Xenopus tropicalis: one gene and its partner. The main gene of each other region encodes a partner of the protein of the gene in region 2 in a complex. Links are inferred from orthologs where the notes say so. Each region holds a gene or a part of one and is shown on either strand. Other genes may lie near its edges.

Evidence for each region.
Region 1: cc2d2a (region 2) and b9d2 share a complex: the UniProt entries of both Homo sapiens proteins name them as parts of the tectonic-like complex. The link is inferred for Xenopus tropicalis from reciprocal best matches to the Homo sapiens genes CC2D2A and B9D2.

Annotation. Positions count from the first base shown.
Region 1 is NC_030684.2:79,325,654-79,329,774, forward strand, and holds the start of b9d2 (B9 domain-containing protein 2), read right to left. Parts: upstream 2,803-4,121; 5' UTR 2,732-2,802; coding exon 2,686-2,731; intron 1,917-2,685; coding exon 1,827-1,916; intron 1,107-1,826; coding exon 981-1,106; intron 805-980; coding exon 488-804; 3' UTR 1-487. UniProt on the Homo sapiens protein: Component of the tectonic-like complex, a complex localized at the transition zone of primary cilia and acting as a barrier that prevents diffusion of transmembrane proteins between the cilia and plasma membranes.
Region 2 is NC_030677.2:27,856,386-27,860,746, forward strand, and holds the start of cc2d2a (coiled-coil and C2 domain-containing protein 2A), read left to right. Parts: upstream 1-1,497; 5' UTR 1,498-1,694; coding exon 1,695-1,733; intron 1,734-4,361. UniProt on the Homo sapiens protein: Component of the tectonic-like complex, a complex localized at the transition zone of primary cilia and acting as a barrier that prevents diffusion of transmembrane proteins between the cilia and plasma membranes.

The DNA of each region.
Region 1 (4,121 bases), on a different chromosome or scaffold from region 2:
TAACTGATTTAAGATAATCGTCAAAAGAGCCTGAAAAGTATTTAAAAACAAAAACATTCAATTTACTTTATATATAAATGTATTCTGGTAAGTGATTGATGTGAATGAGGTATTATGAAAATGAAAGGAGAGAAAGGGAGTGTGCTTTATAACAGGGCTGAAAACAAAGCAAGGATAGTAAAAAAGTGATACAATGAGGAAAATGGCTAATATCAGAAGTAACAGACAATTTGGGAAAGTGTAAGAGATGTTAGTAGAAGGGGAGGAGGATAAATGTTACCAGATTATGGTACAGAAGAGATATGAAGTATCAGGTTTATTAAGAAGGGTTGAGAAAAGGGGCTCATTAAATACTGAGCAGGATTCTGTTTGAGGTGTTCACAAGTAATTCCATAAAATGTCTTGCTGATTATTTCAGTGCATATGTCCTTGGCACCAAAAATAATCATTTGGAAAACCAGGAACAAGTTCTTAGCACTCTGCAAAATCAAGAACACTCCACCCCGTATCGTTCAAAGTTCCTGAGTATGACCGTTAATTGGAGATGTACTTGCCCCATGGCCACTGTTTGCAGACGGTAGCGATCAGACCCTCCATAAATCAGGCTGGATGACTTAAGTTGTGGGCCGCCGCCAACAAACATCTGACATATTTGCTCCTGCCATGTTCCCAGGGGTCGCCAGGTTGGGCTAAGCAATGAGTGAGTACCAGGGGTGGAAGGGATGTGGAGGAAGCTGTAACCATAAAGTTCATTACGACCAAATGTGTCCTGATGCCAGACTTGAAGGTGAAGTTTTGGCCAACCTAAGTGGGGGAAATACAAGCATTTAAAGTACATAATGTACTTTGCACCTTTGGTAGGTAAAGTGTGTTCATTTGAATGGGTAGGGTTAGGGTTGGGAGCCTGTGCAGGGGCTCCAATGTGATTACAATAATTTTAACAGATTCTTTATTTTATTCTTTATTCTATCATACTTTACCTTGTAATCCTTTAGTAGCAAAGTGCATGTCAATAGGGTGAGACCAGAATGCCATGTCATCATTTTGTGGATGATCTACTTGTGTCTGGCCTTCCACAACCCCAGAAAGTAGCTTCCAGGCTCCACCTAAATGTTATGGTAGGGAACGATGTTATTACAAATAGAAATATCATATGGTTAATAATAGATAGAGCCACACCAGTATCTTATATATCAAGATTTTCTCAAAACATTAACATTTCCTTTAAGACTCTTTTATATTGTTTATGTAAAGTAAAGCCAAAAATGGGCTTTAAGTTATACAAACACAGCCTTCTCCTTCACTTCACATTACTAGAATAAATACAGGGGTCACCTGACGCATATATTTCTTCTTCACATCACAAACTTAAAAATATATTACAGGTATAGGACCCATTATTCAGAATGCTCGGGACCAAGGGTAATTTGGATCTCCATAGCTTAAATCTACTAAAGAATCAATAAAACATTAATTAAACCCTATGGGATTGTTTTGCATCCAATAAGGATTATTTATATCTTAGTTGGGATCAATTACAAGGTATTGTTTTATTACTACAGCGAAAAAGGAAATCTGTTTTAAAATTCTGAATTATTTGATTAAAATGGAGTCTATGGGAGACGGGCATTCCATAATTCAGAACTTTCTGGATAACGGGTTTCCGTATAAGGAATCCCATACCTGTACTAGAATAAAAGTGGGGCCAACTGAATGCATATACCACATTTTCAACAGCGTACAGCTCCACAAAAAAACAAAACTGTGTTTTTTTTATGTACAATTGATATATAGATCCATTTAAAATGCAAAATGATGACTCTTACCTGTGTGTACTCCCCATTTGCAAAACAGGCTGTGTTGGGGGAAGCCACTAGCCCCAATAATTTGCCCTATGATGTGAACCTCTGCCATTACTGTAGGAGGAAAGGTAAAATATATTTCAGTTACATCATTATTGTGAAGAAACTAAATTATAATTTTTATTAGAAGTAGGTCCAACAAACAATAACAGCTAGAAATTACACTTCTTATACCATCTGACGCCAATATAAATATACAAGCCTCAGTGACCAAGTTTTCCTTTTTTTCTTGGCTGTGTGTGCAAAAACTTTCTTTTGTGCCTACTTCCTAAACCTATTTGAGCACTTTTATAAAAACTATGCGCAAGTCTAAAAAAATTCTAAATTATGCCTTTACATACAAAATTCTTTTTGCGCACCACAATTTATTACAGTAAAACTTTATTTTTCATCCCTTACTTAGGTTTTTTTATTTTGTGGTCCCTCCAAAATATAATGATTAATACATTTCAAGGATATGACATCCCCCATTATTTTCTAGTGGCCTCAATAATGTAAAAGGGCGGTTCTAATGCATGTGCCCTGACATCGTAATTTAAATATCCACAAATGCATAGCTTAGAAGGAACATTAGTATTACATATACATTTTATTTATTACCTACTTTTAGCGCAGTGTTATTACTACGTATATTATTAGTATATGTAGCTAACCCCCAGCAATAAGCCCTGTAAGACGTGGCATGTCATAACCAAACTGTTCATTACACATCCAATAAAACCAATTTGAAAGCATAATTTTATTTGTCATTACCGCATAGTGTATTACATATGTAACTAACCAGGTCAATGACCAACATCAAGCAAAAAAAACCTACTTATACCTGCACAAGTTGGGCTGTAATGTAATTCATGAGTGTGGCTATTCATGTACAGTGAATTTCATAACTACATAGAACACTGACAGTGAAGGCACTATAGAATCAACAAATAGAATCCCTAAACTGAGGGCCCTACAGCTTACACTTACAGAATCAGCCAAGAGCCTCTGTTTGTCAACTATCAGCTGCTGGAAAACGTAATACCCCCATTACACTCCCTACACTGGCGCCATTGTGTGTGCTATGAGCATATAAATTACTGACGATACATATTTGGATGATGGTGCAAAATCATCAGGACTCCATACCGACAACCTGCGAATCATATCTACCTTTGCGTATATAACACCGCAGTAGGGTAAGATGTAAGCGCTTTACCAGTTTATTAGCTCTAAATATTTTTCGCCCTCTTTTACATCCCGCTATAAATGCTTCCCCTAACCGCACAACTGCAACATAAATCTCACCGGACCCCCTCTGAAAACCGGCTCCTTGTCTTAGCTTTTTGCCCCTTCTAATTCTCACTTTGGTAGACTCCGCCTGTTGCTGTGCAACCGTTGCATACAGCAGATCTGATTGGTTCACCGGCGGAAGTGACGTCTGTTGTAGGCGAAATGTGTAAACTGATCGAGACTGATAGTCTGTGGGAGACGAAGTATTGGGATTAAACGATAGCTATTAATACTGCAATCTGTGATTTATAATACAACATAGTGTAATGGAACGTTGCTTAAACAGATATAGGGCGTCGTGTCGTGTCGGGTTCTGAGGCATTACGTATACAAGAGACATATTAGCGTCCATTTAAAGTTCAGCAAGTTAGTGGCTGAGGGGGGTGTAATGAGAATTAGCATGGCCATGCTGAAAATGCGTTTGTCTGCTCCCACTTTGTAGTCACACCCCCAAATGTAAAGCCTTTAAACCAAAAAGAACCCAGCTTTTAAAATGCTGGAAACTTTGAATGGCAGCGTCAGACGAAACGCATTCACTTTTATGACAGACATAGTGGCCAAAATATTTAATTACATTTTAAAAGAAGTAGGGAGATACTTGGATACATGAACGCAGAAGAATTTATTTAGGATATCCCTATCTGAAAAGGTGTCGTTGATCCAATTCATGCAAGAAATACATTAGTATTTTTGTTATAAAAGATTGCTAAAGCTGCTTTACTGCAAGACAAGCTGGTAATGAGCCAATTTTTGCGGAACATATGCTGTTATTTTAGTGTCTTTAAAAGATCCTGTCTGTTGCTTCACAAGATAACTGTTTGCCCCATTTTACCCCTTTCTCATTGAGTGATTTATTCTGCATGCTCAGTATGCATTTCTTATCAGATCTCTCCATTTGTCTCTGCCCATTTCCTTGTAAAAGAGCATTCTTTTGAGAGAGTGCACTGTTACTGACAGGTACAGATAGAGACCAAAAGAAAGATAGGG
Region 2 (4,361 bases):
TACCTGCTATCCCACAGCCCCAGTCCCTTCCCAGAGGCTATTATCCCCCCACTGCTGCTATAGGCACCATCTCTCCCTACTATACCTGTTATTCCACAGCCACAGTCCCTTCCCAGAGGCTATTATCCTCCCACTGCTACTATAGGCACCATCTCTCCCTACTATACCTGCTATTCCAGTCTCAATCCCTTCCCAGAGGCTATTATCCCCCCACTGCTACTATAGGCACCATCTCTCCCTACTATACCTGCTATCCCACAGCCCCAGTCCCTTCCCAGAGGCTATTATCCCCCCACTGCTACTATAGGCACCATCTCTCCCTACTATACCTGCTATCCCACAGCCCCAGTCCCTTCCCAGAGGCTATTATCCCCCCACTGCTACTATAGGCACCATCTCTCCCTACTATACCTGCTATCCCACAGCCACAGTCCCTTCCCAGAGGCTATTATCCCCCCACTGCTACTATAGGCACCATCTCTCCCTACTATACCTGCTATCCCACAGCCACAGTCCCTTCCCAGAGGCTATTATCCCCCCACTGCTACTATAGGCACCATCTCTCCCTACTATACCTGCTATCCCACAGCCACAGTCCCTTCCCAGAGGCTATTATCCCCCCACTGCTACTATAGGCACCATCTCTCCCTACTATACCTGCTATCCCACAGCCACAGTCCCTTCCCAGAGGCTATTATCCCACTGCTACTATAGGCACCATCTCTCCCTACAATACTTATAAATAAAGACGTGAATTTCAATGTTTTGCTTTCCCCCCATTATAATGAAGTGAAATGATATTTTCTGTGGCAGTTTAACAGGTTGTAGCAGTTTCCATGCCCCACTGTGATACCTTCACTAAAAGGAAATCTCGCATCATTAAAGAGCAGGCACCTGTGCTGTAAAAAAAAACCAATAATGTATAATGAGCAATTTATTGATTTAATGTGTTAATTAAAAGTCAGCGCATTGGTTGTCGGATTTTGTCCCTTCCCTTATAAAAGAAAGCTGTGTAAGGGGGAAAAGATGCAAGCACCTGAGCTCCCCACTCCTTTGCCAAGTCTCCAGCTCTCCGATGTCCCCCTTGATGGCGGCCCTGCACAGCGACACAGTCCTCACGGCGCTACCAAATAGCCAATCACAGTCATTATTTGGCCTCCCCAAAGAACTTCTTTTAATGTTTCTGTGGCTCACAGGTAAAACAAAAAGTTGGGGATCCCTGGTCTAACCCCTTTGGTTATGACTGAATACAGTAAGGGCGATCCATACCCAATAAGAACATGCTTGGTTATAATGAAATAAACCTCATTTGTGTGCACGTTTTATCTCGATCACTGGTTATATTATAAACAAATCTTTGGTTTATCTGCACAGAAGTCTCTACCACTAAACATTTCAGCACATACTAATGCCAGCCTTAGCAGCTGGAACTGAGTCTGTAGGTACAGAGACTCCATGGCAACGTTACAGCAAACACCCAGCAGTAGTACGCCCCTCCCACCGAACTATCCCAGTGCGCGGTGCATGCTGGGAGTGCGATCCCCCGGCCAATGGCGGCGCTCACCGACGCTTAAGTCGTTCTCTTTCTGAACCTGTACATTTCTGTATTGAATGAACTATAGACTTAACCGCAGCTACCGAAGAGGGGACAATTGTTCGGGTTCCAAGCTTGGAGCTGTCGCCACTAAGCTGCGATGAGACACTCTGAGGAGAAGCAGAGGATGGTGACACAGGTCTGTGCTGCTGATACACTAACTCAGTGTTGCCGTGTGTGTATGTTGTGCAGTTTGTGCTACAGTTACATTGAATAAGCGAATGGAATTTGTTGCTTACGCTACTGCTATGTCTATGGAGTTCCTGTGGTTGCTATAGGCGCCTCTGTGCGGTTGCTAAGGCCAAAGCGGAAGTTGCTGCGTTGCATTGCTTCACTTTCACTTTAGCGCTCCATGTTGTTTAACTAAAACTCTCAGCCCTCCCAAAGGTGCAACTGGGGGTTGTAGTACAGGTATAGGACCTGTTATCCAGAATGCTCGGGACCAAGGGTATTCCGGATAAGGGGTCTTCCTGTAATTTGGATCTCCATACCTTAAGTCTGCTAAAAAATCAATAAAACATTAATTTTAACACCCAATAGGTCTGTTTTGCATCCAATAAGCATTAATTATATCTTTGTTAGGATCAAGTACAGGTACTGTTTTATTATTACAGAGAAAAGGGAATCATTTAACCATTAAATAAACCCAATAGGGCTGTTCTGCCCCCAATAAGGGGTAATTATATCTTAGTTGGGATCAAGTACAGGTACTGTTTTATTATTATAGAGAAAAGGGAATCATTTAACCATGAAATAAACCCAATAGGGCTGTTCTGCCCCCAATAAGGGGTAATTATATCTTAGTTGGGATCAAGTACAGGTACTGTTTTATTATTACAGAGAAAAGGGAATCATTTAACCATTAAATAAACCCAATAGGGCTGTTCTGCCCCAATAAGGGGTAATTATATCTTAGTTGGGATCAAGTACAGGTACTGTTTTATTATTACAGAGAAAAGGGAATCATTTAACCATTAAATAAACCCAATAGGGCTGTTCTGCCCCAATAAGGGGTAATTATATCTTAGTTGGGATCAAGTACAGGTACTGTTTTATTATTACAGAGAAAAGGGAATCATTTAACCATTAAATAAACCCAATAGGGCTGTTCTGCCCCCAATAAGGGGTAATTATATCTTAGTTGGGATCAAGTACAGGTACTGTTTTATTATTACAGAGAAAAGGGAATCATTTAACCATGAAATAAACCCAATAGGGCTGTTCTGCCCCCAATAAGGGGTAATTATATCTTAGTTGGGATCAAGTACAGGTACTGTTTTATTATTACAGAGAAAAGGGAATCATTTAACCATGAAATAAACCCAATAGGGCTGTTCTGCCCCCAATAAGGGGTAATTATATCTTAGTTGGGATTAAGTACAGGTACTGTTTTATTATTACAGAGAAAAGGGAATCATTTAACCATTTAATAAACCCAATAGGGCTGTTCTGCCCCCAATAAGGGGTAATTATATCTTAGTTGGGATCAAGTACAGGTACTGTTTTATTATTACAGAGAAAAAGGAAATCATTTAACCACTAAATAAACCCAATAGGACTGTTCTGCCCCCAATAAGGGGTAATTATATCTTAATTGGGATCAAGTACAGGTACTGTTTTATTATTACAGAGAAAAGGGAATCATTTAACCACTAAATAAACCCAATAGGGCTGTTCTGCCCCCAATAAGGGGTAATTATATCTTAGTTGGGATCAAGTACAGGTACTGTTTTATTATTAGGGCTCTGGTACACGGGGAGATTAGTCGCCCGCGGCAAAACTCCCTGCTCGCGGGCGACTAATCTCCCCGAGTTGCCTTCCCTCTGCCATCCCACTGGCGAACATGTAAGTCGCCGGCGGGATGGCAGACGCGGCGGGGCGATTTGCGCGAAATCGCGCTGCCGCGTCTGCCATCCCGCCGGCGACTTACATGTTCGCCGGTGGGATGGCAGAGGGAAGGCAACTCGGGGAGATTAGTCGCCCGCGAGCAGGGAGTTTTGCCGCGGGCGACTAATCTCCCCGTGTACCAGAGCCCTTACAGAGAAAAGGGAATCATTTAACCACTAAATAAACCCAATAGGACTGTTCTGCCCCCAATAAGGTGTAATTATATCTTAGTTGGGATCAAGTACAGGTACTGTTTTATTATTACAGAGAAAAGGGAATCATTTAACCATTAAATAAACCCAATAGGGCTGTTCTGCCCCCAATAAGGGGTAATTATATCTTAGTTGGGATCAAGTACAGGTATTGTTTTATTATTACAGAGAAAAAAAGGAAATCAGTTTTAAAAATGTGAATTATTTGATTAAAATGGAGTCTATGGGAGACGGGCTTTCCATAATTTGGAGCTTTATGGATAATGGGTTTCCATATAAGGGATCCCATACCTGTATAACAATTTCAGCAGAGAGACAGAACCCACCCTTGCTGCATAATATCTTACTGCTCTGTTATTTTTCCCCACATTGTGGTCTGTGTTGGTATCAGTTGCCCTTTAATTGCCAGCCGATTCTCACACTGCATTTATACTCCATGCCAAACTTATACTTGTTTTCACATTTCATGCTTTTTTTTTCTTTAGAGGCATTTCCTAGTGGCAATATTTAGGGGCCCATTCATGAAACCATGATTTTTTTTTCTTTCTAATTTTTAGAACTTTTCGTAATGACCACGATAATATTTTTAAAATTGCACAACCTTTTTGTGGTTTTCGTTAAAAGTCGTATTTTTCGCAAAGACTACGACCATTTCGGAATTCATTCAA